Linked DNA regions of Rhinolophus ferrumequinum. The protein of the gene in region 1 interacts with the protein of each later gene in a pairwise test. Links are inferred from orthologs where the notes say so. Each region holds a gene or a part of one and is shown on either strand. Other genes may lie near its edges. The genes, in order: USP54 and ATXN1L.

The links.
Region 2: the proteins of USP54 (region 1) and ATXN1L interact in binary tests that used the Homo sapiens proteins (3 or more experiments, as listed by UniProt). The link is inferred for Rhinolophus ferrumequinum from reciprocal best matches to the Homo sapiens genes USP54 and ATXN1L.

What each region holds. Positions count from the first base shown.
Region 1 is NC_046299.1:51,092,996-51,105,199, reverse strand, and holds the start of USP54 (inactive ubiquitin carboxyl-terminal hydrolase 54), read left to right. Parts: upstream 1-6,908; 5' UTR 6,909-6,998; intron 6,999-7,268; exon of another isoform or gene 7,269-7,383; intron 7,384-8,064; exon of another isoform or gene 8,065-8,279; intron 8,280-12,204. Other genes in the region: MYOZ1 (myozenin-1), read left to right, coding at 1,371-1,614, 1,972-2,137, 3,042-3,273.
Region 2 is NC_046298.1:20,857,885-20,869,462, forward strand, and holds the start of ATXN1L (ataxin-1-like), read right to left. Parts: upstream 5,439-11,578; 5' UTR 5,320-5,438; intron 2,973-5,319; 5' UTR 2,905-2,972; intron 2,809-2,904; 5' UTR 2,708-2,808; exon of another isoform or gene 1,730-2,707; intron 1,716-1,729; exon of another isoform or gene 1,713-1,715; 5' UTR 1,596-1,712; coding exon 1-1,595. UniProt on the Homo sapiens protein: Chromatin-binding factor that repress Notch signaling in the absence of Notch intracellular domain by acting as a CBF1 corepressor. Binds to the HEY promoter and might assist, along with NCOR2, RBPJ-mediated repression.

The DNA.
Region 1 (12,204 bases):
TGCACTCTCCAAAATTAAATTGAAGGACAACAACTGATGGGTCCTGGAAAACTATACTGTTCCCCAATAAAAATTTAAAACAACAACAACAAAAACAGTCTGGCAGGGGGATAAAAACAAACAAACAAGGCACTTAATTTCAGATACACAATGAATAATTTTTTAGTATAAATATGTCCCACAAAATGGGGCATAAAAATTAAATTAAAAAACACAGGACATTCGGTAAAATTTGAATTTCAGATATATAATGGATACTCTCATATATAAATATGTCCCATGCAATATTTGTAGCATATTTATACTAAAAAAGTGTTTGTTGTGTATCTGCGATTCAGATTTAACTGGTATCCTGTAATTTTATTTGCTAAATTTGGCAACCCTAGAAAGAATTAAGTGAATTTTTACGGTCATCTCCTTCTTCAGCCATTCTTTCATCTAAGGACCCCAGATGTGGGGACTGAAACCATCCTTGAAGATCCTACATTCCCTAGTCAGGATCCTTCAAAGAAAGAGAAGTAGGGATTGGAGAGAGGCCAGGCACAAGATGTTATAGCTGCCACGGAGAGGCTCTTCTCCTTTTCCTTTATTTCCCCTCCACCTTCCCTGGGCAGCCGGCCAGGGGAGAGTGGAAATAGCTGCCTATATGGGGCCAGGGGCAGAAGTGTCTGTCGTTGGCCCTTATGTAGCAGCAGAGTGAAGATGCTGAGCTGGTTATATCTAACTTTAGGAGACCAAAAGCCCTCCTTCCTGCCTGGGTCTGGTTACACTGGGTGGAGCACTGGGTTGTGTGTGGTGGGTGGCCAGGAGAGCCTCCTGAAGGAGTTGGCAGGGTTATTTTTAGGCCTTGGGGCTGAATCCAGTGTTGCCCTTTTGGCCACCCTTCCCCCTCCCACTACAATTTCACTGTCAAGATGTCCTGGTCCAACAAGCACCAAGAAAAGAGAGGGAGAAAAAGAGGGAGAGAGAGAAGAGTTCTGTCTGACTAGATGAGGAGGGGGAGGGGGCAGAGAGCTCTCTAGTTCTTCAAATTAAGGCTAAGTTCTCCAGGCCAAACCTATCCTCTCAAAGTTTAGTTGAGCAGAAGTCTTGGTCCTCTTTGCCTTGGTAAGGATGGGAAAGGAGAATGAGTTGCTCTCATCCTGAGGTACAATTGGAGGTACTGAGCCATTGGGGGTCTAACCCCTTAAGGAGAGTTTAATTTCTCTCAGTCAGGCTATCCTTATCCATCTATTGGAGGGGAGAATCATAGAGGATTCAGTGTCTTTTGGTTGCCATTGTCTGATCACATCCGCCTTGCTACGCATACCTGTGTCTTTGTGTATTCCCCATACCCATCCCTAACCTTCCCCTAACTCTGTCCTTTTCAGGATCACTTCCAGAAGTTCCTTCCCGCAGTGGGGGGACAGCTGGGCACAGAGGGTCAGGGATTCTCCTACAGCAAGGGCAGCAGTGGAGGCCAGGCAAGGGGAAGTGGCCCTGCTGGACAGTACGGCTCTGAACAGCAGCAGCATCAGGGCCCTGGGTCTGGATCTGAAGGTACAGGTGGTCCGGGAGGCCAGCCCGGCAGAGGAGGAGCTGCTGGCACAGCAGGGGCTGGCGATACAGGAACAGGCAAGTATCTTCACCCAAGAGTAATGTCTGGTCCCTAGAGCAGCGATATCCACAGGAAGGAGGCCTAAATTGGGTGTAGGGAGCAGGAGAGGCCTGAGATTTCTTGGTGGACTCTATGGGTCCAGGAGAATACAAACATGTATCTATTTCACCCAGAAGTCACCTTTCTGGCTTTTCAGTTTCAGCCCTAGATCCGACCCCAGGCTGTCATTATTCTGCAAACATTATACAATTATCAGGATGCTATACCTTTGGTACTTGGCTCCAGCAGCTTCCCTAGTGCAAGGGTATGAGACTAACTTCCACTGGCTACTACCTGCTATTATTTGACTTACTTTTCTCTCCCATGGCTGCCAGGAGACCAGGCAGGTGGAGGAGGAAAACATATCACTGTGTTCAAGACCTATATTTCCCCATGGGAGAAAGCCATGGGGGTTGACCCCCAGCAAAAAGTGGAACTTGGCATTGACCTGCTGGCCTATGGGGCCAAAGCTGAACTCCCCCAATACAAGTCCTTCAACAGGTAGCGGTGATGGGGGAAGGAACCAGATGCATGCGAGTGTGTGGTAACATGTCCTTCATTGGGATGGAAACTTTGGTTCAAATGTTTCAGGAGGCATGGGAGGAATATGGGGACCCTAATTGAAGGCCTTTGCTCTTTCCACTCCAGCTCAGAGAAACAGCATAGTATGATGACAGAAAATTTATTGGGAGGCAGGATTTAATTTTTAGTTCATAGGCCACTTATTAGCTGTGTGGGCATGGGAAAGTCACCCTATTTCTGAGCGTTGGTTGCCTTGACTGTAAAATGGGAGTAATATATCACACATTTAAAGGCCTCTTGAAGGCTCCCTTCTTTCAAGGTTAGGGTTCCATTACTGTTCCTGCAGTATGAGTCTAGTCCTTTATATCCTACCTTAGGGAGGTTTGAATATCTGTTCTTTTGGGCTTCTCCAGACTGTGGATAGTAGATCTGTGTGAAAATAGGATAGGGAAGTGCTAGAGAAGGGCTTTTGCATCTGGTCCTAAGGAGTCTGGATTTTCCAGGAAATGTTATTCCTCTCATTTAGGCCAGGTACTATCCACTGGAGGCAGGGTCGGGGTTCTACATTGTACTTTAAGGTAGCCTCAGACCCTTGGGTCTATAGTGTTTGGGGTCACTTTTTCTAAAATGCTGGTCTGGGCCACAGCTGCTCATGAGGCTATCTAGTACCAATTAGAGTCCTTTTCTCATTATTAGCTTTGAGGAAACAAGGAAACCAGGAAGGGGGAATGGAGTGCTATGGGAGAAAAAGAATAAGGAGAGCAGAAGCAATCTCACACTAGAATTCAGAGACTCCCCATCTTCAAAACAGAGTAACATCTTACTGATAAAGCTCTGCTCCTTTTGTTCTGGTTTTTAATGAAATAATGTGTCCCCTTTTCAGGACAGCAATGCCTTATGGTGGATATGAGAAGGCATCCAAACGAATGACCTTCCAGATGCCCAAGTTTGACCTGGGACCCCTGCTGAGCGAACCCATGGTCCTCTACAACCAGAACCTCTCCAATAGGCCTTCTTTCAATCGAACCCCTATTCCCTGGCTGAGCTCCGGGGAGCATGCAGACTACAACGTGGATATTGGCATCCCCTTGGATGGAGAAACAGAGGAGTTGTGAGGCGTTTCCTTCTCTACTTTGCATTAAGTTTCCCCTCTCTGGTTCCAATTTGGAGAGGGAAGCTGAGCAAGATACTCCCATTGTAAATCTAGTATCCTTTTGGGAATGGAGGGGAAAAAGAAGGGAGAAATCTGCCTTTCCATCCTTCGGTCTAAGTGCCCACTCCAGCATCCTTCCTCACCACCTCAGAGCTCCCCTTCCACTTTCTCTGTATGGAAACTGTTCTTTTATGGAATTTTCTCCGCCACCGGTAACAGTCAATAAACTTCAAGGAAATGAACTCATTCTTCCTCTGATATTTGAGGGCAGACGAAAACTGAGGCTAACAATGCACAGAGACTAATTAAAGTCAAATACTAGTCATTCATGATTCAAACTTCAAGACCAGACCTGAGCTCTGGTTACTTACACACCCACACCCACATCCACACCCATGAAACCACATTCATAGGTGTATACAAAGGCATTCTTATTCAACAGTAACATAAGACAAATAATCACGCACAGACACACGTACTAGTCCATATGTGGGCACAGCTAAGAAGCTATTGTGTGCTGTGGTTAGGAAGTAGGTGGTGGTGACCCTGCTGTTAGTTCTCTTTTTGTAGCTGATTAGAAATTGGGATAATCAGGATTACCCAATCATTACAGAACTAGAAATGCCATAAAGTTTCCAGATGACATCAGAGTGGGCTTAGGAATGTATGTCAAAGGTTACGGATTCCCAGAAGGATGAGATAGAATAGGGAGCCGTGTTGGAATCCAGAAGGAAGTGGGAGAAACCAGCTGTAGTAGTTATAGTAGCCCTGGCTCTGTACTAACATAGCAAGAAAAGAACTAAGGGTCATGGGGGCACTGCAGTGGTGTCCAGACAGCAATGCGATTGGGAAGAAAGCACGAGAGCCCAACAGGAATGAGTAACATTACTCTTTTTATTGATTTCAAGCATGAGGTTTCTTTAGAATCCCAGACTTACTCCTGTGTTCTACAAAATAAGAAGTGATGCAGACCAGGAAGAATAGAGATGACTCAATCGGTTCTGGGAAAATAAATTCTGAGAGCTGGCTGAAGTCAGCCAACTTCTTGAGCCATTAAAGATGATACTAATTTGCTAGACTCTGCATAGACTGATTCAATTTTCATGGACCTTGGGTCACATGATATTTATCCTGGTCACGTTCCTTTACAAATTAAATACATTGCAGGGGGTTCATAGGTTCTGTGAACTTGTACACAAAACTCTACTTCTACATGCATTTTTCTAAGTAGAGTGTTGTCATAGTTTGGATTTTCCCCCAAATAGATCCTGGAACAAAGTTTTGGATACAAGTAGTTAACAAGGAAGGTGATCCCAGAATCCAAGCAGTGCAAGGGAGAAGAAAGCCAATAAAGGTGCTTTGAGCAATTGGGGCTGAATCCCACCGGGGACTCTGGGAAAAATACTATTCAAACTGTGGTCCACGGACTGGCAGCAGCATTATCTTCTGGGAGCTTGGTTAAAAGTACAAACTCAAGAATCTGTCGCTTATTAAGCTCTCGAGGTGATTCTTATGCATTGGTAAATTTTGAGAAACACTACATCAGAATTGCCCCACTGAGGGGGGGTGGGAACTGGAATATTTAACCACCAAATCCCATCTCTCATTGGTTGTGGATTGTTACCAGGAATGTTAACTCTGCTGGCAATTCCAAAGAAAGGTGTTTGAGGTAGGAAGCTATGGGCTTGTGCAGGATCTGTCTACCAAAGTTGTAGTGAACTCTGAGGTGGGCTGAGGGAATATGGTTAGGGCACAGATAGGATCTGGATAAGGCTTCATAGCGTTCATCTGATTCCCATGTTTAAAAGTCTATGAACCCTGCCAAAAAGTTACGGACTATATTTCTTTAACAAATGTTTATTGAGTGCCTACTGTATACCAGGTACTTACTAGGTCAGGCATCAGAGGTACAAAGGCTAGTAACAACTCATGTGACAAAGAGATTTCATAGTCAATCATAAAATACTTATTAAATGCTTACTATTAAAGTTGAGATTAAAAACAAAAAGTCCAGCATCTGCTAGTCAACAGCTCTGAAAACCTAGAACTTAAGTTTTTCTAAACTCAGAATGTCTGAAATCTTAAATATAACGAAATATCATGATGCAAGCTTATTAATTTACAGGAAGCCCAGGTTGGTTGTGAAATTATTTTCTTAGTATAAAAGTCTACTTGAGAGTCAAATTATTATCAGAAGATGCAATGGTGGTTTAATGCATTAAAATGCGCACTTGCACAGGATCTAGCCAGAAATCCAGTCAGATCCTCAAGCTTTGCTATCTCTTTGCCTGGACATTTTTCTTGTGTTAAAACATCCTTTCTTCAGACCATCTTTTATTGTTACTTGCTTAGCCTCTGTAGCCATCTGAGTTAGCAACTTTAAGGGTTTCTTTTACATAAACCACATGCCTATAATACTGTGCCCCTAACCTCACCCAGATAGCTCATTCCCTCTTCTAGGGTTCAGAGCTTTGTGGTGCAATACTATAGTCACTAGACACACGTGTCTTTTAGGCTTTTAAAATGAGCCTAGTCAGAATTGAGATGCTCTGTGTATAGAAACACTGGATTTTGAAGACTTAGTATGAAAAAATATCTCATCAATAACTTAAAGATATTGATTACATCTTGAAATGGTATTTTGGGTTAAAAATTAACTAAAATTTCCTATTTCTTTCAAGAAATGTGGATACTCGATATTTTAAATTGCGTAATGCGGTTTGCAGTATATTTCTACTGGACAGCAGGGGTCTAGACTATGAGAGCTATTCAGGGGCTGTGAGGGAAGGAATAAATTCTCCATTTATTATTTCTATTCCTTTATTTGTTCCCCTCTGTTCTATTCTTCCTTGATGACCGGCGTTAAGTCTACCTTCTGTTCCAGATGTTACTCAGTCTGCATTTACAGTTGTCTGAGAGCAGAGACAGCAAGCCCTCCAACTTAAATGTTGACAGAGTCACTAAGTCACAAGGATGTGTCCACAGGGCAGCAAGCAAGTGCCAAGTTCAAACCACACGCCAATCCGGTCCCCTTCTGCATCCCAACACCTGTGCCTGATTTAAAAGACAAACTTGTGTTGCCTATTTGCGTCGGGCTAACTGACGGGGGGTGTGGCACCAGCGGAGAAACATAAACATTTCTGTGGAGTCCAATACCATTTGCAAACCACGGTAGGGGAAAAACGTATGAAAACTTCCTGAAGGAAGGTAATGAGGACACGGGAAGGTCAATTTCTGTCTTGCTTCATCCCTACTCCGCATGCAGAAGGAAAATGCCGGGAAAACGGGAACTTCAGCTAAAGGCGACACTGCTCTAAGTTGGAGGCACTTGGGCAAAGAGCAGGCCACATCCCTAGTTATTCCAGCGTGGGGTCCGCTACCCTAACATCCCCCAGCTCAGACTGCCCCGGCTGCACTAGTTTCCGACTCTCCAGCCGGCTCCACATTCTCCCTCGCTCTCGCCCACCTCTGGACCTTCCCAGGCCACCCCTGAAACGCCCTGCAGCCGCCATTTTACCCAATGCTATCGCGAGACACTCAGCCGTCGGGAGCCTGACTCATGTATGTACTTTCTTGCGAGACGTTCTCCTGGGTTGTTCTCGCGGAGGAAAGTGTCGCGAGAGCTGGTTGCCTTGGCTCCCTGTAGCTATAGCAGCCGCGGCGGTTAAGGATGCGGCGGCAAGAGCGGTGAGTGCGACACCCTCAGGGGGGCGGGGCTGGAGGGAACGGGGTGCAGGGGGAGCGCCCAGGGAGGGGGCGGGGAGGGTCGGGTCACGGGGGGAATGGGCGTGAGTGTGACGTGTAGGGGAGGACCCAGGTCTAGTGGGTATAGGGACTGGGCGCCGATCTGCACTGGGGCACGCGGGGAGGGCTGCAGCTGCTGGGAGGTCTAGGGGGAGGGACGGGGTGGAGCAGGGTTCAAGGGGCAGGGGCCAGAGTGTGGAAGTCTGTGTGTGTGTGTGTGTGTGTGTGTGTGTGTGTGTGTGTGTGTGTGTTTGTGTATGGTGGGAGGGAGAGGGTTACCGGGACTCAGAAATGGTTAAAGAGACCGGACTACATCGAGGAATAAGTGGTAAGAAATGGGGTTCAGCTAGGAGCAGGGTATGTTGAATGGGAGCAACAGAGGTTGGGCCCGGTTGCTTTGCACTGGTGGGGATGCGTGTGCGTGTGTGTCAGACCTTCGCAGCTCCCGGGGGCCCCGCCTGAGGCTAGTCCGGGACTTGAGGCGCGCCAGGACCTGCGTCCTAAAGGGCTTGGCGGGAATGGTGGCGTCCCGGACCTTCGCCTCCCGTCCCTCCCAAAGAAATCCCCCACGGACTTTGAAATATGAAAGGAGGTTCCTGGTGAGCTAGTATTAGTTGGGAAGGTTCTTTCGGTGGAGAGACTGAGTGGGATCATGAATGATTGCTGTTCTAAGATAAAGTGTGGGGTGGGAGCGGGTGAGAAATGTTTGAGAGGAAAAAACCAAACCTCAGATGTGCTTCCTCTGGAACGTATTGAGTTGGAGGAAGGGGGTGTGTGCTGAGATCACGTTTCTTGCCAGATTCATTCAATTGTAGAAATCCTTTACAGTATATTTAGGAAATTATATATGCAGTGTAAAATCAGCTTAGATAATACAGTGAAAGAACGTGCAGTACGACACTTAAACCTTCCACGAATGTAACTTACAAACTAAGAAAAGTGTTTTTATTGCAGCAGCAGCATCTGCAGATTGAACTAGGGATAGTTTTAGTTACTTGAATGTACTAGGGATAGTTTTAGTTACTTGAATGTAAAACCTAGTGTTCCCAAAGTGTGCCTGTTTAGGTTATTTGCCTTTTAAGAAATGGATTAGGTTTCATTTTAGGGGACCAAACAAGTTTTGAATATCTGTCAACCTGGAAATAAAAGGAACCCCAGGAGTTAAAATCACCGAGAGGGCAAAGCGTTTAGTCTGAGACTCAAGGACTGTTCTGGAGACCTCAGGTTTGGACTACTTTGTTTGTTAAAATCTTATTTCTAGGGAAAACAGTGGCTTCAATTCAGGCATAAAAATAATTTATCCATTTCGATCTACAGATAACAGCTTTCTGATAATTTTTCTCACTACCTTTATAAGTATAAATGTGCAAAACCACTCTTTGATTATGTAACTGGATTTTTCCATGTTGAGGTTCACAAATTCATTAATTAGAATAATGGCTTTTAAATTTTTCTAGAGCTAGCCTTGATGTGGTTAGTCTTTGAACCTATTTATCTGATATGTTTTAGACTAAAACTTTTCATTTGTAATGTTAATAGCTAAACTTTAAAGTGCTTTTTTTGAGGCAAGATTTATGTGGTAGAGTCCAAAAGATTTCTGCATGAATCCATTAACGAGCTTCACTGAGTTCCTGTTATGTGTAGAGTACTGTGTGTAAGGCATTGCAGGGGGAAAAGATTAATTAATTCATTTATCCATTCAACAAACATTTATTGAGACCTATTTTGTGTCTGATTACTAAGCTTTCAGGATACAAATACAAGTAAGCCTTGCTCTCTGCCTTGAAATTGCTCAGACCCTAGGAAAGGAGAGTAATAGAGAAACAAATAATTACAGTGTAATAAGCACACAATATATGAACACACGCTTATGAAACAAGGGTCTGTCCCTGAGCACTTTACTATGTTTATAGCATAGTAGATGACCATGCTGTATCAGTAAAACACATACTACATTTCTCAGAAGAGATGAAAGTTAGAATAGAAACTTGGGGCGAAAATTCTCGGGTAAGTTCATAATTTAATAGTTTTTTTTAGTATTCTTAAAATAAATATCACTAAGCATCTTAAGTCAATAATATAATAATAATAATAATAATAATAATAATAATGATTATAAGCACAATAGCTAACATTTGTTGGGTGATTATTAATGTTCCAGGCACATTATCTCATTTTATTTTCACAGCACCCTGCTCTTCAGCTGCTACTAATACTTCAATGTTAAAAATAAGAAAACTGAAGATTAAAAAATTAAAAAGTTGCCAAAGATTACAGAGCTGGTAAATGTCAGATTAGGGAGTTAGAAATATACATGATTGGAAAAACCTAAGCAAGATTCCTTTCTTTGCAGAAAGGGAGCCTTGGGATGTGGGGAGGAGGGCAGAGATTGAAGGTGGAATTGGACAGAAGACCAGAATTCAATCTCTATCTTTATTCATAGATTTTCCTCTATCAAATATTTACACGCATATGGGGAATGAATTTCAATATTAGCATGATGCTAAATATGAAATTTGTATTGTACAGAGAATTGAGTAAATTACCATATTCATGTTGGATATAATTGTACAGGGAGCTATGTTTGGGAAAATAGTTGTAATAAGCAGTTGTTAACATTTATAAGCTTCCAGAAAATGATCATTTTAACCCTGGAAATGGTTATCTATATTCATACCGTGTTTCCCTAAAAGTAAGACCTAGCCGGACCATCAGCTCTAACACGTCTTTTGGAGCAAAAATTAATATAAGACCCGGTCTTATGTTAGATAAGACCTGTTATAAGACTGGGTCTTATATTAATTTTTGCTCCAAAAGACGCATTAGAGCCCATGGTCTGGATTGGTCTTATTTTCGGGGAAACATGGTATATATGGCAAGTGTTAATTACAGTAGACTTTAAAGGATTAAGTCAAATATTTTTTATACTGCAATTTTTTTGTATTGAGAAAAATACATACATATTACATGTATTTATATATTTGCTTTCAGATTTTTTTAAGCTCTATATTTCAGACTCCAAAATCTGATTATCTGGTTGAAATTCAAATTTTATATCTTAGTACATGGTTTCTTTAAAAATCTGAGAAGGAAAAATATCATCAGTGTAGTATTGATACTTAGTTCTAGAGTTACTTAGTTGAATGCTTAAAAGTCAACCAGTTCAGTCCATCCTTTTATACTGAGGAAACTAAAGCCTAGAGAACTTTTAAATGACTTGCTCAAAGTCATACAGCTACAATGTCCCAGGTATTCTGATTTCAATTCAGTGTTCCTTTTACCGTACCACATTGCCAAATTATACTTAATAATTGCTATACGTTAAAGATAATTGAGAGTTTTAGATGCTCTCAGCTAATTTTAGGAAACCAGTTATATCAGGAGGCTATAGATGACAGAACAAACTAATTACTTGTTTCCCTTATACTGTATTTACACTTCTTATACTTAGGATAAATGCATTCAGATAATTTATTCAAATGCTTCCAACATTTGGTTTGTTATATCACTGTTTTCATTTTCTCTGTGTCCAGCTGTGGTGCTGGCCCATTTTAATAAATGTTTAGTGTCTTTAAAAATGGAGGTGTACAACTATGTTGTAATACACAGTATTCTTAAGAAATACATGCAGATTTGATGGTGAGTCCGTGATGCAGTTTTTTTTTCCATTGAGTTGAGTTTCTGCAGCAGCCCCTCATCTGTATAGATTTTAGATGGAATAGCATGTGGGTGTGAATGAGATCCTTGTGTTTTCTAACACCTTTTAACTAAGTGAGCCGGGTGCTTACTTTTTTTATGTGAGTTATTTTATTTTATTTTTTATTTTATTGGGGAAGGGGAACAGGACTTCATTGGGGAACAGTGTGTACTTCCAGGACTTTTTTCTTTTTTTCCAAGTCAAGTTGTTGTCCTTTTAATCCTAGTTGTGGAGGATGCTGTTCAGCTACAAGTTGTTGTCCTTTCAGTCTTAGTTGTGGAGGGCGCAGCTCAGCTCCAGGTCCAGTTGCTCTTGCTAGTTGCAGGGGGAGCAGCCCACCATCCCTTGCGGGACTCGAGGAATTGAACTGGCAACCTTGTGGTTGAGAGCCCACTGGCCCATGTGGGAATCCAACCATCAGCCTTTGGAGTTAGGAGCATGGAGCTCCAACTGCCTGAGCCACTGGGCCGGCCCTATGTGAGTTATTTTTGAGGTATTGAGACATTTTTCCAAAAAAGGTTTAGAGCAAGAGAATGAGATGAGAGGAAGAGCCCTGAGGGCTAAGAATGGAACTTCTTCTCCATGTGTGTTGAAAGCTGACACAGCAGTTTATGATATGTGAAGAAGATAATAGTCTAAAAGCTTTCTTGAACTCTTCATCCTCAGGAGAGCTTGAAGTTCTTTTCTTCTGCTTTGATACACATACCCTCTGGAAAGTTTCTATCCATTTACACTCCTACAGGGATGAGTGGGCAAAAGTATTAATTTCCTAGCGCTTAAATTAGCAACAGTAAATAGAGACTCAAGGAACAAACCAAAAACAATTTACATTGTAGGTGAAAAGTAATATCTTATTTTAAATTTCCATTTCTTTGATTGCCTTTAAAGTTGAACATTTTGTCATATTTATTATTTTTCCTGACTGGCTGTTTTGTCTTTTTAAAAGCACTTAAAATTTTTAATAAATATTTAAATTGTATACTTAAAATGCTTTAAAGAGAACAAAGAATACATTCTTTCAAAAATATAATGCCGTATCTATACAGGCTAAGGAATATAGATTCCCCTTCCAGAAATATCTTGTTTGGTGGTTTTTCTTCCAGTCCTTTTTGTATGTGTTTATACTTTATATATCTATTTATAGCTTTTTTAAATCAGTGGAATGATAATGTATTTTTTCTGCAGCTCTTTTTTTTTTTAAAAAAACTTAGCTGTATACCTTTGAGAGATCTCATCCTGTCAGTACACACTTTTTAATAGCTGATTGTATTTCGGTTTGAATTACTGTAATTTATTTAACTGTTCCTTTATCCATGGACATTTAAGTTGTCCCAGATTTTTGCAATTACCAACAACACTAAAATGAAAATCCCTTATTGTCTCTTGTGCACATGTTCTAGACTGCCTCTAGAGTAGGTGCCTAGAATTGTTGCTTAAAAGGTATGCGTGCTT
Region 2 (11,578 bases), on another chromosome or scaffold:
CTCTGCTGCTCACCAACCACAAAATGCAGCATGACAAATCCAGGCCACTGGCTCTCCTGAATGTCCACGACTGTGCTAGAGTCGATCTTCAGTCCCCCACTTACTTCGGCACTGCGCACAAAATCCTGGGTCTGGAGGTCCTCCACCCGCTTCAGCTCCCCCGTAGCCAGCTGGATGATGGCGCCTTTCATGAAATGGGAGGGCAAGTGAGAGGAGGTAATGGGGGGTGGCGTTGGCTCCTTGTCTGGAAAGATGGCTCTGGCCTGCATGTCCAAACTTGATGCCACCAGGATCTCCGAGCCCATGGGCAGCAGGCCTGGGTCAGTTCCAGTGGGCACCAGGTTGCCATTGGCTACAACCACTGCTTTGGGTAAAGGTCTATGTTTCACCGGTTCCTGATGGGATTGAGGATAGAACCCTCGGGCCTGGTTTTTCTCAGCCATCTCTGCTGGGTTCCTGGCTGACCCTCGCCCCTCACCCTGATGGTCAGGGGTATGATGGGACAGGTTGAGGGGGCTGGGCTCATCTTTCCTCTGAGCTGCCACCACACGATAGTCCTGAGAAGCTAAAGCGCCAACTACCCGCTGGACCTCAAGGTCGGTGTCTGGGGTCCCTCGGTGTGCTGGCACTGCCACCTCCACCCGTGCAGTCTGAGAACCTGAAAACAACTGTCTATCCACCACACATTCTACCACTGGCACCAGTCCCTGGCCTTCACCCTTGCTGTTGGGGGAGTCGAGGGCTTCGCTTTCTCGTCTTACTAAATTTCGCTCTCGCTGTCTCTGTCCGTTGGCAGCAGCTGCTTCCAGAGCAGACTGGCCCTCCTGAGGAGTAAGAACTGGGCTGGCACCTGCTGGAGGGGTTTCATGCAAGGTGTACCCAGCAGGTAGCCTGGACATCTGATAATAAATGGGCATCCGTCCTGGAGCGAGGTCCAATGGCTGAGTACTCGAGTGATGTGACAACTGCCCAGGTGAGGTGGTGGCAGAGGGGGCTTTGTTGAATGAGTGAGCCGGGGATGAAGACTGCGGGGGAGGAGTGGCTCCTTCTGCCAGGAGCGAGGCATATGGCACAAAGTGTGGAAGGTGAGAGGTGGCGAGGTTGGCAGAAGGGGAAAGAAGGGGACTCGGTAGGAAATTAGGTGGCACAGCATAGGGAAGGCTGTAAGGAGACCCGATAAACTGCAGAGAGGTGGATGGGAGCTGAGCATAGTGGATTGGGGGATAGTGGATTCCTGGATGTTGAATCAGTGAAGACGCTACATTAAACGTGGGGGGCAAGGGGCTCATGTTCACCACGGATGGGAGGCCAGTTGGGGAGAAGGTGGCAGGTGGCACAGCCACCTTATACAGCATGCCATATTGGTCCACTGTCAGACCAGTGATGGCCTCAGCGCCATCAGCCCCTAGGCTGACTCTGGTTCCTGCCTGGCTCTGCCCAGCCACCACAACCCCTCGGGACCATTCAGAGGCATCACTGGAGGGTGTGTGGTTAGTTGAGCAGCTGGTAGTTCTCCCCATATCCTCGCTGGTCACGGGGAGGTCTCGTTTCTTTGGTGGAAGGCATTCCTGACTCCTCTCATGAACAGGTTTCATATTGCTTTGCAGTGTTCCTGGAGCCTGGAAGGGGTCGGCTTGCTCCTTGGGGCATCAGAAGGGGCTTCTCTGTGGCTCCCCTGCACCCCTCTCTGTTGCTGGCTGGGGTGCCCACATCTGCTAGGGAACAAATCAGAGGCAAAGAAAAGTAACCTAGGGGTGAACTAAGTCAAAGGAAATAGCACAACTGTGCCCATGAAGGAAGATGTAACAAAGGGGACTGCTGGGGCAAAAAGAGGTACGAGAGAGGGGCAGACCAGGACGCTCCCCTCCTCACTCAGGCAGCCTCGACATGAAAGAAACAAACAGTCACAAAGAGCTACAAGGAGAAGCATAAATAACCCTAGAGAAACCAACAGCTTCATGATTAGCTGTGCCTCAGATGGGGAGCTTGACTGTTCTCAGCCTTTTCCCCTAACGGGAATTTGAACACAGGGTCTTTGCTGCTGACTCTTTTTTCTAAGTTTCTCCTTTTGCCACCAAAGACTCCTGTGCTATCTTCTTTCCTGAACATAAGACCTCATCTTCACTTCCTTTTCCCAGACCAATGTGAGTTATGATCTCACCTATCCCTAGCTCCCTGCACCTCGGGCCTGGTTAAACTCTTGTCGTCTTCTGCCTCATATCGCCACCACCTCAAGGACCCAGGTGTCGATAAGTCCTCAGGTCTGCTTGTGTCTTGTTTTTTTAAACTTTGATCCCTAAAAGTATCATGAACATTAGCATCTTCTTTGCCCCATAAAATACTACATTCAAACTTGGGCTCTGTGGGGAGAGTGATTGTACGACCAAGTTCTACAATTTATTTGTTTCTCCTTGTCCCCAAAAAGCAACAAAATTCTTCTGACCTCATAAAGACTTCTTGCTCCCTAATCTGGCAAGACTTCTTTTCTTCTCAGAGACCACCCACAATTTGCCTTCTTCATTCATTCCCTTTCTTTTTTCCTTTGTGTTTTGTCAATGGCTCCTACTCCATCGTAGGTCTGCTCTAGGCCCCACTTCCTAAAATTCTGATTCCATTCCTCCAAGCACTCCTGTTTATTACTATCTTAGGTCTGTATGATTCCTAAGAAAGTTCTCTCTCCCCTTTCTCTTGTTGTCACCTTTCGTACATGCTTTTGTCCATTGTCATAAAGTATCTTTTTGTCTGAACACTTCAGTGCATATGAACTTTGTCACCTATTTCTTCCAATCAGGCTCCAGTTCTTTAGATCTGAAAAGAGATTTCTACATTATACTCTGCTCTGTTTTTCCACAGTTGAATCCCAGATGTATTTCTGCAACAAGGTATCTAAAGCACCTGTATTACCTGAGCTTCCAGTACCGCTTCTGAGCAGCTGTAGTAAGAAGCAGTGTCCTCCCCGCTGGTGTGGGAACCTAGAAGACAGACATAGGGATAAAGTAAGTAGGAGCCTAGTCTCTGACCATCTCTGACCATCAAAAAAGGTAACTCCAGGCCAGCACGGTGGCTCAGGTGGCTGGAGCGCCCTGCTCCTAACACCGAGGTCACCGGTTCGATTCCCACATGGGCCAGTGAGCTGCACCCTCTACAGCTAAGATTGTGAACAACAGCTCTCCCTAGAGCTGGCCTGCCATGACACGGCAGCCAGAGGTTGGCGTCAGCTGCCGTAGGATGCTGTGTGCTGCCACAGGCTGCCGTGTGCTGCCATGGGCTACTGTGCGCTGCCATGAGCGGCAGGTAGCCAGCGTGAGCTGCCATGAGTTGCTGTGAGTGGCCGGCCTACGACTGGCGACCAACTGCCTCAGCCGGGAGAGCGCAAGGCTTCTAATACCAGCATGGGCCAGGGAGCTGTGTCCTACACAACTAGACTGAGAAACAACGGCTTGAACTGGAGTAGGGGCGGGGGGCGGGGGGGAAGGGAGCGAGGCGGAAGAAAGGGGGGGGGGAAGATAACTACAAAGCTACAAAGATACTAAACTCCATGAGTCCCTTCCTCTTCTACTACAAGCACAACATCACATTACAGAAAAAGCGATCTCTTAAGCTTTAATTTGTAGGAGGACATCCCTGGAAAAAGTTTTCCATGTCAAACTTCATTGTTTTCCTTAACATCATGTTCTTCATTGACATGTTCTTCACCTGTTAAATTTTCCCAAAGGTTAAATTTATTCCCCAAAGGTTACATTTACTTCCCATCCCAATTCCAGGTAACTGCACAAATAAAAATGGAAGACTCAACATTGTTCCCATGTGAACAACAGGAACCAGGAAAAACCAACTTCACAGCTTTCACTTTTATTCAAGGCTGATGAAAACATAGTTGTGGAGGTTATTTAAATGAGAAAAGCGGCACTAGAGAAAAAAGAACAATTATTTATGTTTCTGGGGCAGAAAAAGAGGTCAAGGGGGAGCCACTCAAGGGGAAGCCTTATTAACAGATTTTTCAGGGTAAAAAAATGGTCTCCTGGGTATGTGTAAAATCTTCTGAGTGACAACTTGGTACCAAGTGCTGAATCAGTTGTGACAGAAACTAAAACATTGCCTGGGTCCTCACTTAGCTAACAATGGGGAAACAAAACTCACACTAAACTGTCAATATCTAAGTCTGCACATGCCAGACACATCAAGCACTGAAGAATGGAGCCCTAATCTCTGAAAACAGAAATAGTACTGAGTACTCCGAGAAACTACCCACTGTCCTGTCCAAGTTCTACAGACCACACTGCAAGCCTCAAACCAAGCTGAAGACAACTTTTACCTCTTACAAGTACTGGCAAGGATGTACACAAAAAGGTGATGAAATAGGAAAACAAAGTGGAAAGACAAATTCTTAGCTCCATGAACACAAATGACACAATGGGCACAAGTCGTGCATCCCTTCTTTGTCGGCAGTTCCAGTAACTGAAAAGCAGTTAGCTTTTAGCTTTCTCCTTCATTCCTAACAAAAACTGGGGTCATGTCTTCAACCCCAGCATCATCCTTGCTCCCTGCAGCTAAAACATTAAAGAAAACCTGCCTCTAGGTCACTGAGGGGTTAGCCAAATACAGGTTAATAGAAGGAATAAAAGAGCCAAGAGGTCTGCAGGAATGACAACAGAGACAAGCCTATGGACCAGGCTTGTGCACCACGCAAAACATATTTCGGAATGTGAAACCCCGGCCTCTGGAGGGGCTCAATGAGGATTTCTCAAGGGGAAGACGTAGCTTGTGACCCCAACCGAGCTAACGGGGAAGAAGGACTGTTCCAGAGAGTTGCCAACCCTGCCAGCAGAGCCAAGGAGTCGAGAGACCAGAATTCGCTGAGGGCGAGAGGTGCGCCCGCCAGAAAGGGGAGCTTGGAAGATACTAGAGGTTATGGCTTCCCCAGTGATCCCGCAATCCTTGCTCCAAAAAGCGTAAGGTCCGAAACTGGGAATTCAAGGTTTAGAGAGTGGGGGTCGACCCTTCAAGCAGAGGGGCAGGGGCCAGCAGGTGATGCTTCCTTGTTTGGGGGCCCCTTCCCGCCCCAAGGACTCAGATACCCCGGCCGGTAGGGACACAGCCACGGGGGCGCCGGAGCCTGAGGCAGCTTTCTGGGCTGGGTCGGAGGGAAGTGAGCCGGGTCTAGGCGCGGCCTCTTTCGCTCCATCGGTCCGCGGTTCTCGGGCCGCGGTTCTACCGGGCAGCGGGCTCCGTAGGGCCACTTCCTCCGGAGCTCCGAGCCCAGGCCTGCTTGGCCCCAGTGAGACCGGCCCGGCAGACCTCACTCCCGGCGACACTCACCGGCCCATCTCACGACGCTCTTTGGGCTCCTCCCGCTCGTCCCGGAGCCGCCGCAACTGCGGCCGCCGCCATCCCCGGCCCCGGAGCCGCCCCACACCCAGCGCCCCCCCCAGACGGGCGCCCGGAGATGGCGTCAGCGCGTCCCGCCCCCGGCGCAGAGAGATTGCGTCACGCCTGGGACTGAGAGCGACGCCTAGGAGTACCCCGGAGGGGAGGGGGCTGGCCGCCAGCGCTTCGTCCCCAGTGCGTCGTCCCCAGCGCCCTCTCTGGTGAGAAAACGAACTCCTTCTCCTGGACCTGAGTCACGTGAATCCAGGGCTGGGCCAGAGCTCCCACACCTTGACCCCACAATGACCCCTCAATCTTTCTACTCCCGTAAATTCTAGGGGTTCCCAGGCAGATCCCTGGGTCGTAGCCATTAGCGACCCTCATTTCCTGGACTTCCCGGGCCTGATTTGTGAAGACTCTTCTGGGGAACCTTAGAGAACCTCGAGGTGACCTGGGCACAGGAGAGTAAGGAGATCCCTCTGGAGATTCAGGGGACAGATGGGAGTTCTTTAAGAGTTGAGAAATGGCTCTGAAGGGGATGAGAGTGGACCGGACCCCAGGATCTAGGGGAAGGTGAAGCAAGTAGTGGGAGACTTGAAAGTCTGTAAGGAATGAGAGGAAGAGGTTTAGTACAATGGGAAGCAGCTTAGTTTAGTGGGAAGAGGACTTTACTACTGGATGAAATATTAGGTCACCATTCGTTGAAGATTAACCAGTCAACTCTATAGAAACATGAACTTCTGATTAACTTAACTGAAAAAATGAACAGTTAAATTTGTGCTTTGATTACAACTGTGTAAAATATAATAGTTCTGCACACAGACAAAACTAACTAAACAGAAAAATAAGTTTAGGGCCGGCCCGGTAGCTCAGGTGGTTGGAGGGCCCTAACGCTAAGGTTGCTGGTTTGATTCCCAAGTGGGCCTGTGAGCTGTGCCCACTACAGCTAAGACTGTGAACAACAGCTCTTTCTGGAGCTGAGCTGCCGTGGACTACCGTGTGCCGCCATGAGCAGCTGGTGGCCAGCGTGAGTGGCGTGGCAGCCAGCATGAGTGGCCCGCAGCCATTGTGAGTGGCTGGCAGCTGCTGAGAGCTGCCATGAGCTGCTGTGAGTGGCCGATCAATGACTGGCGAAGGACTGCCTCAGCCTGGGGTGAGCGCAAGGCTCATAATACCAGCATGGGCCAGGGAGCTGTGTCCTACACAAATAGACTGAGAAACAATGGCTTGAAGTGGAGGGAGGGGGGCGCCAGAGGGGCGGGGAGTTTAACTATTGGAGAGATTGAATTCTGAGTGGATTTTTTTCATTTCAGTTTCTGCAAATTCTGTTCAATAAATAATTACTTTTTGTTTGATTTTAAAAGTACTGGCCCGGCTCTGGTCCCTATGCTGTAGCTATCTGGCCTTAGTAAAGTCATTTTACTACTTTAGATATGGGTTTCCACTTCTGCAAAATGAGGAGCTTGAACTAAATGAAAGCGTGGGGGTAAAATGTAGATAGAAGAGCTCTCTAAACATTTTAAGTGAAAAAATAAGCAAATATGTACAGTGCAGTATGTATTTAATGTTAAAGGACATATAATTTATAGTTGCATATAGAGAGGGTGCCAAAAAAATGTATACACATTTTAAGACAGGAAAAAACTTAAAATTGTAATAATATATACCGATTACAAAAGATGAATACAAGTTTGACTTCTGCAATTACAAGAGCTGCTCAAAGTGGTTGCAATCAGCATCCAGACACTTCTGATTACGGTGAATTACTGCTTGAGCAACGTTGACGAAAGTGTCCACTTGTATACTTTTTTTTGGCACCCCTGGTATTTATGTATCTGTACAGAAAAGGAACGGAAAGGTATGTAACAACTAGTTAACACTGGTTATCTTGGGAGTGGAAAGTGGAATTGGGTGATGGCCAAGAGGAACAAAAGGGACTTATTTTACTGTTTGGATTTTTTATGAGAATATTACCTTAGAGATAGTAAAATGAGTAAGTAAGTAAGATATTAAAATACAAATAAAGTATATGACCTCTAAGATTATTTCGAGGGAATCCTTAGGCCTCAATCTTCATATTTTTTCACCTGAATGAGCACAAAGGATCATCAAAATTATTGAACTACACACACACACACACACACACACACACTCACAACCACACACACACACACACACACTTCTTCCACCAGTGGGTAAAACATAGCGAAGCTACTGATCTGTAACCATCTAAATCAGGCTTTGCTTCTTGAATATTTATTCATGACAGAGAATTATTCTTTCTCTCTGTTTGGCCAACAAGGAAGTCCTGTGGTGATTCTGTTTTAGTGCTAACTGGCATTCTGGTTTCTAGTTCCTTGCTTAGCTCACTAAATTGCTATTAAAACTGCAAAAAAAGAAAGAGATCCTTGGACCATCCAAATGTATTCAAGGATAGCTAATTTTCCCAGATCAGGATATGTACTCAGGGAACTGCTCTTCAGACAAAGAACAGACAAAGGTTGATGCAAGCAAAACCTCTTTTTGACTACCTGCATTATTACGCAATGCAAAGGTGTGTCTGAAAAACACAGGTGATTTCCTGGTTTGATGCTGCAGTCCCCAAAGGGCGGGTCATATCTCTGCTGTATACCCTGTTTTAGAAATCTTTACTCCAAACAATCCCGATTTCTTTGGTCATAGTACATATTGATAGTATGAAGCTCCCTAGTGTCAGTTTGACAGAAATGGTAGTGATAAGTAAGCTAATGTAGCTTTTAGATTTAACACACTAAAATAACCAAAAGTTACCTTATTTCCCTAAATATCTATATTATTCTCTGTTATCTGGATAATCATTTATTTATATTAAGTGAACCTGGCATCTAAAACACTAACTGACTCAGTAAATAATTGTTGAATGAAATTTCACAAAGATATCCCACAGTAGGAGACTGTCCTTGCTAATTCTTTTGCTCCCACTTCCTCATTTCTACTTATCTAGTTAACCTATTTGCTATCTGTTTTCAATCTCATATGAAAGTCCTTCATTTTATTTCACTGAGTTGGTTTTTTTTCCACAGAGTTTAAAGAACTGATGAAGTGAAAGGAGATTTTTAAAGGTATTTGGGACGTTCGGGCACTGAAGAGTTAAACGTCAATCTGTTTTGTCCACCTCTTCTATTTCCCTGGATTCCTATTGAATTCCTTTGATGTGAGTAGATTGAATTTGTGTGATGGGAGAGCTTGAGCTACTCTGTTGGTAGAAAAACAACAAAACCCCACCATGCTGGTTATTCTTCTCCCTCAGCAGGCAGGAGTTTCACACCATCTCTCTGGGTCTCCTAGTTCCTCCTTTGGTGATTTTTTTCTAGATTTGTAATACAGGCAGAGGAAACTCAGACAACTATCCCAATTCTTTTTGACATTAAGGAATCAAACTTGAACTTGTAACTTGGCAAACTATGTGTGTCATAACAATAGGAGGAGGTGGCATTTTTCATATTGTCATGTCTTCCTGCTTGTACGCTTCAGCATGTAAAGGTGCGATTTTAGGAAAAGAATTTCATCTTTGAATGCCAGTGATTGAAAACAAAAACTAACTTCAAGCAACATAGAAATTACCAAAATACTTACTGGATTTTACTTTCCCTAAAAACATGTTGATGTTTGATATTAGATTATTTTTCAAAAGCTTTTCTAGAGGTCCCAGTGTCGAAATGTGTGACTTTTAAGCTCGTGTTTTATCTTCTCTGAACAATTCTATGTCCTCATTTCTACAGGCTTTTAATGTTATGTGATCTCTTCCAATGGGGATTTCCCTTTCAAATTCATTAATATTTTATTTAGAAGGAAGTTTTATAATGTCTCCATAAGTGACTAATATGTCCTTAGGGGAGGGGAATCTCCCTCCGTTGCCTGCTTCCTCTGGCATTTGCCAAAGAATTTCATGTTTGTCAGAAACTTCCTGCAGAACTCTCAAAAGTTTCTGTAAAAACACTGATGACTGGAATAAACTGGAGGAAACCTAACCCTTCTTTGAATTGCAAGAGTCATATCTGGGTTCACAGAGAAGCCAGTGCATCCAGGCCATTAGTGAGCAATTAGGAATTCATCACATGGGGCTTGTTGAATGAATAAAGTGGATGCTGAAAAACTGGAGCCCTCATGACACTGATAACTTTCTCTTTCTCTGGGAAACTTGCTCATCAGGTGATTTATGAGTGTTGTACCTTCTGGTGATATTATGTTCAGCTCTGTTTGCAAAACTGATCACCTTTGCCTTCCAGTCAATTTGCAACTGGTTGTCAATCACCTAAAACTCTTGGAAAGAAGTAAAAGTGAATAATAACTCCAGGCAGCCCAGATCCTAAGCAATCTACACCCCGACTGCCCCCCACCCCCTACCCTCCTCACCCACCCAGTGGTATATCTCCTAAGACCTTACTTACCAGCTTTGGAATTTAAAATAATGTTTATGACTGGTGGGAATGTGGGAATGATTATTATAGTGATCAAATCATTTAAAAATTTCCAAAGACGGTTCTGTATCTTGACTGTATCAATATCAATATCTTGGTTTTGCAAGATGTTACCATTGGGGAGAACTGAGTAAAAGTATACTTTGGATCTTTCTGTATTACTTCTCATAAATTGCATGTGACTCTACAATGACCTCAAAATAAAAAGTTTAATTTTAAAAAGTTCCCAAAGGCTTAAATGTAAAAGAATGTTCAGATTACTGGACTTCTCTCTCCACCAAGGCAGAGCACTTTATCTAGTCAAGCTTTTTCACATGTGCAGTAACTATTAAGTTTTAGCTGCCATGCAAATTTTTCTGGAAGGGCTTCCTTACCCTTTTTCAAACACACCAAAAGAAAAAAAAAAAAGCCATTTCTTCTATCAGGTCACAGCTCAAGTAGTACTAAACTCATGAGTAGAGGTAGTAGCTGACATGTTTTCTTTAAGTCCAACTTATTTTCTGTTGACTTTTGCTCTTTCCTCTTTGCAGTGGATCACATAAGTGAATAACCCTTGATAAACTGCAAAACTGATGATCTCTGATTATGAGGATGGTTCAGGTGAAATAAGTATTGCACATAAATACAGTTTTCTGAGTGCTCCGTAAATAGCACTATTTACTATTGAATTTTACTATAGTCTGTTGATAGAGGGAAAGCTGTTAGTCAAACTTCTAAACTGATTTTTGGGCATTGTTTAGCCAAATCTTGCAGAGGGTGTTTGGGCATTACTTAGATAGTAGGGGCCTAAGGAAAACCCAAAGTAAATCAAATTTAGGCAAAGGCAGTGGTACCCATTTTGTTACCATGAACAACGGGGATGACGTTGATGGCATACACAGAACTTGTGAATTTTAAACTGCACGTCCACATATTCTTTTATTTGATCCTGATAATCCATGATCTATATTATTATCCAGAAATATTTTATCCTCTTCTTACAAATGAAGAAATTTAAATACGGAGTGCCCAAGTGATTTTAGATAAATAAAGCAAATTCGCGCTGTCTTACCTAAATTGATTCCTTTTTAAAAGGAGATAATAGTCTTGATCTTCCAGGGTTCTATTTGTAACACAAACTGTTAACCTAGATAAACAATAAATGTTTGTCGGTATTAGTATTGGTGTAACGACAGTTTAGCATTTGTCTAAAACAAGTCCAGTTCTATTGTGATTTCTTTTCCCCGCAATGTCTTAGGCAAAGAACATTTTCCTACTTTGGACTTGGCTAAGCAACCTTCCAAGCACTGAGCTTTGTGTATATTTCAGGTTCAAATGTAGTCTTATGTCAAGATTTGTATGCAATGGCAGAGGAACTCTGTCTATTCTCTATTAGGTGATGAACATCACTTTTGTTTCACAGCAGACAGACAGGGTGTATAATTTGGAGGCTCAGGTTTTCCATACTTATGAAAAGCCTATTTCCTCATGCTCAGTCATCAGTTGGTAACTCAGGATAGTAAGACTTATGGCAGTGCATAACAACCAGGGCAGGTTGCATTTGTTACCTTTCCAACATGACTCTATTTGTTCATTTTATGACATGATGTGGTGAAAAAGCGTAGGAATTTACAGTCTGAAGATTTGGCCTTGAGTTCCAATTCAACCTGTTACTCCTAATCACGTGATCGTGGGAAGCCATTTAACTTCTCAGTTTCAAGTTTCTCAGCTGTAAAATGCAAATATTAAGGTTTGTAATAACATACAAACCT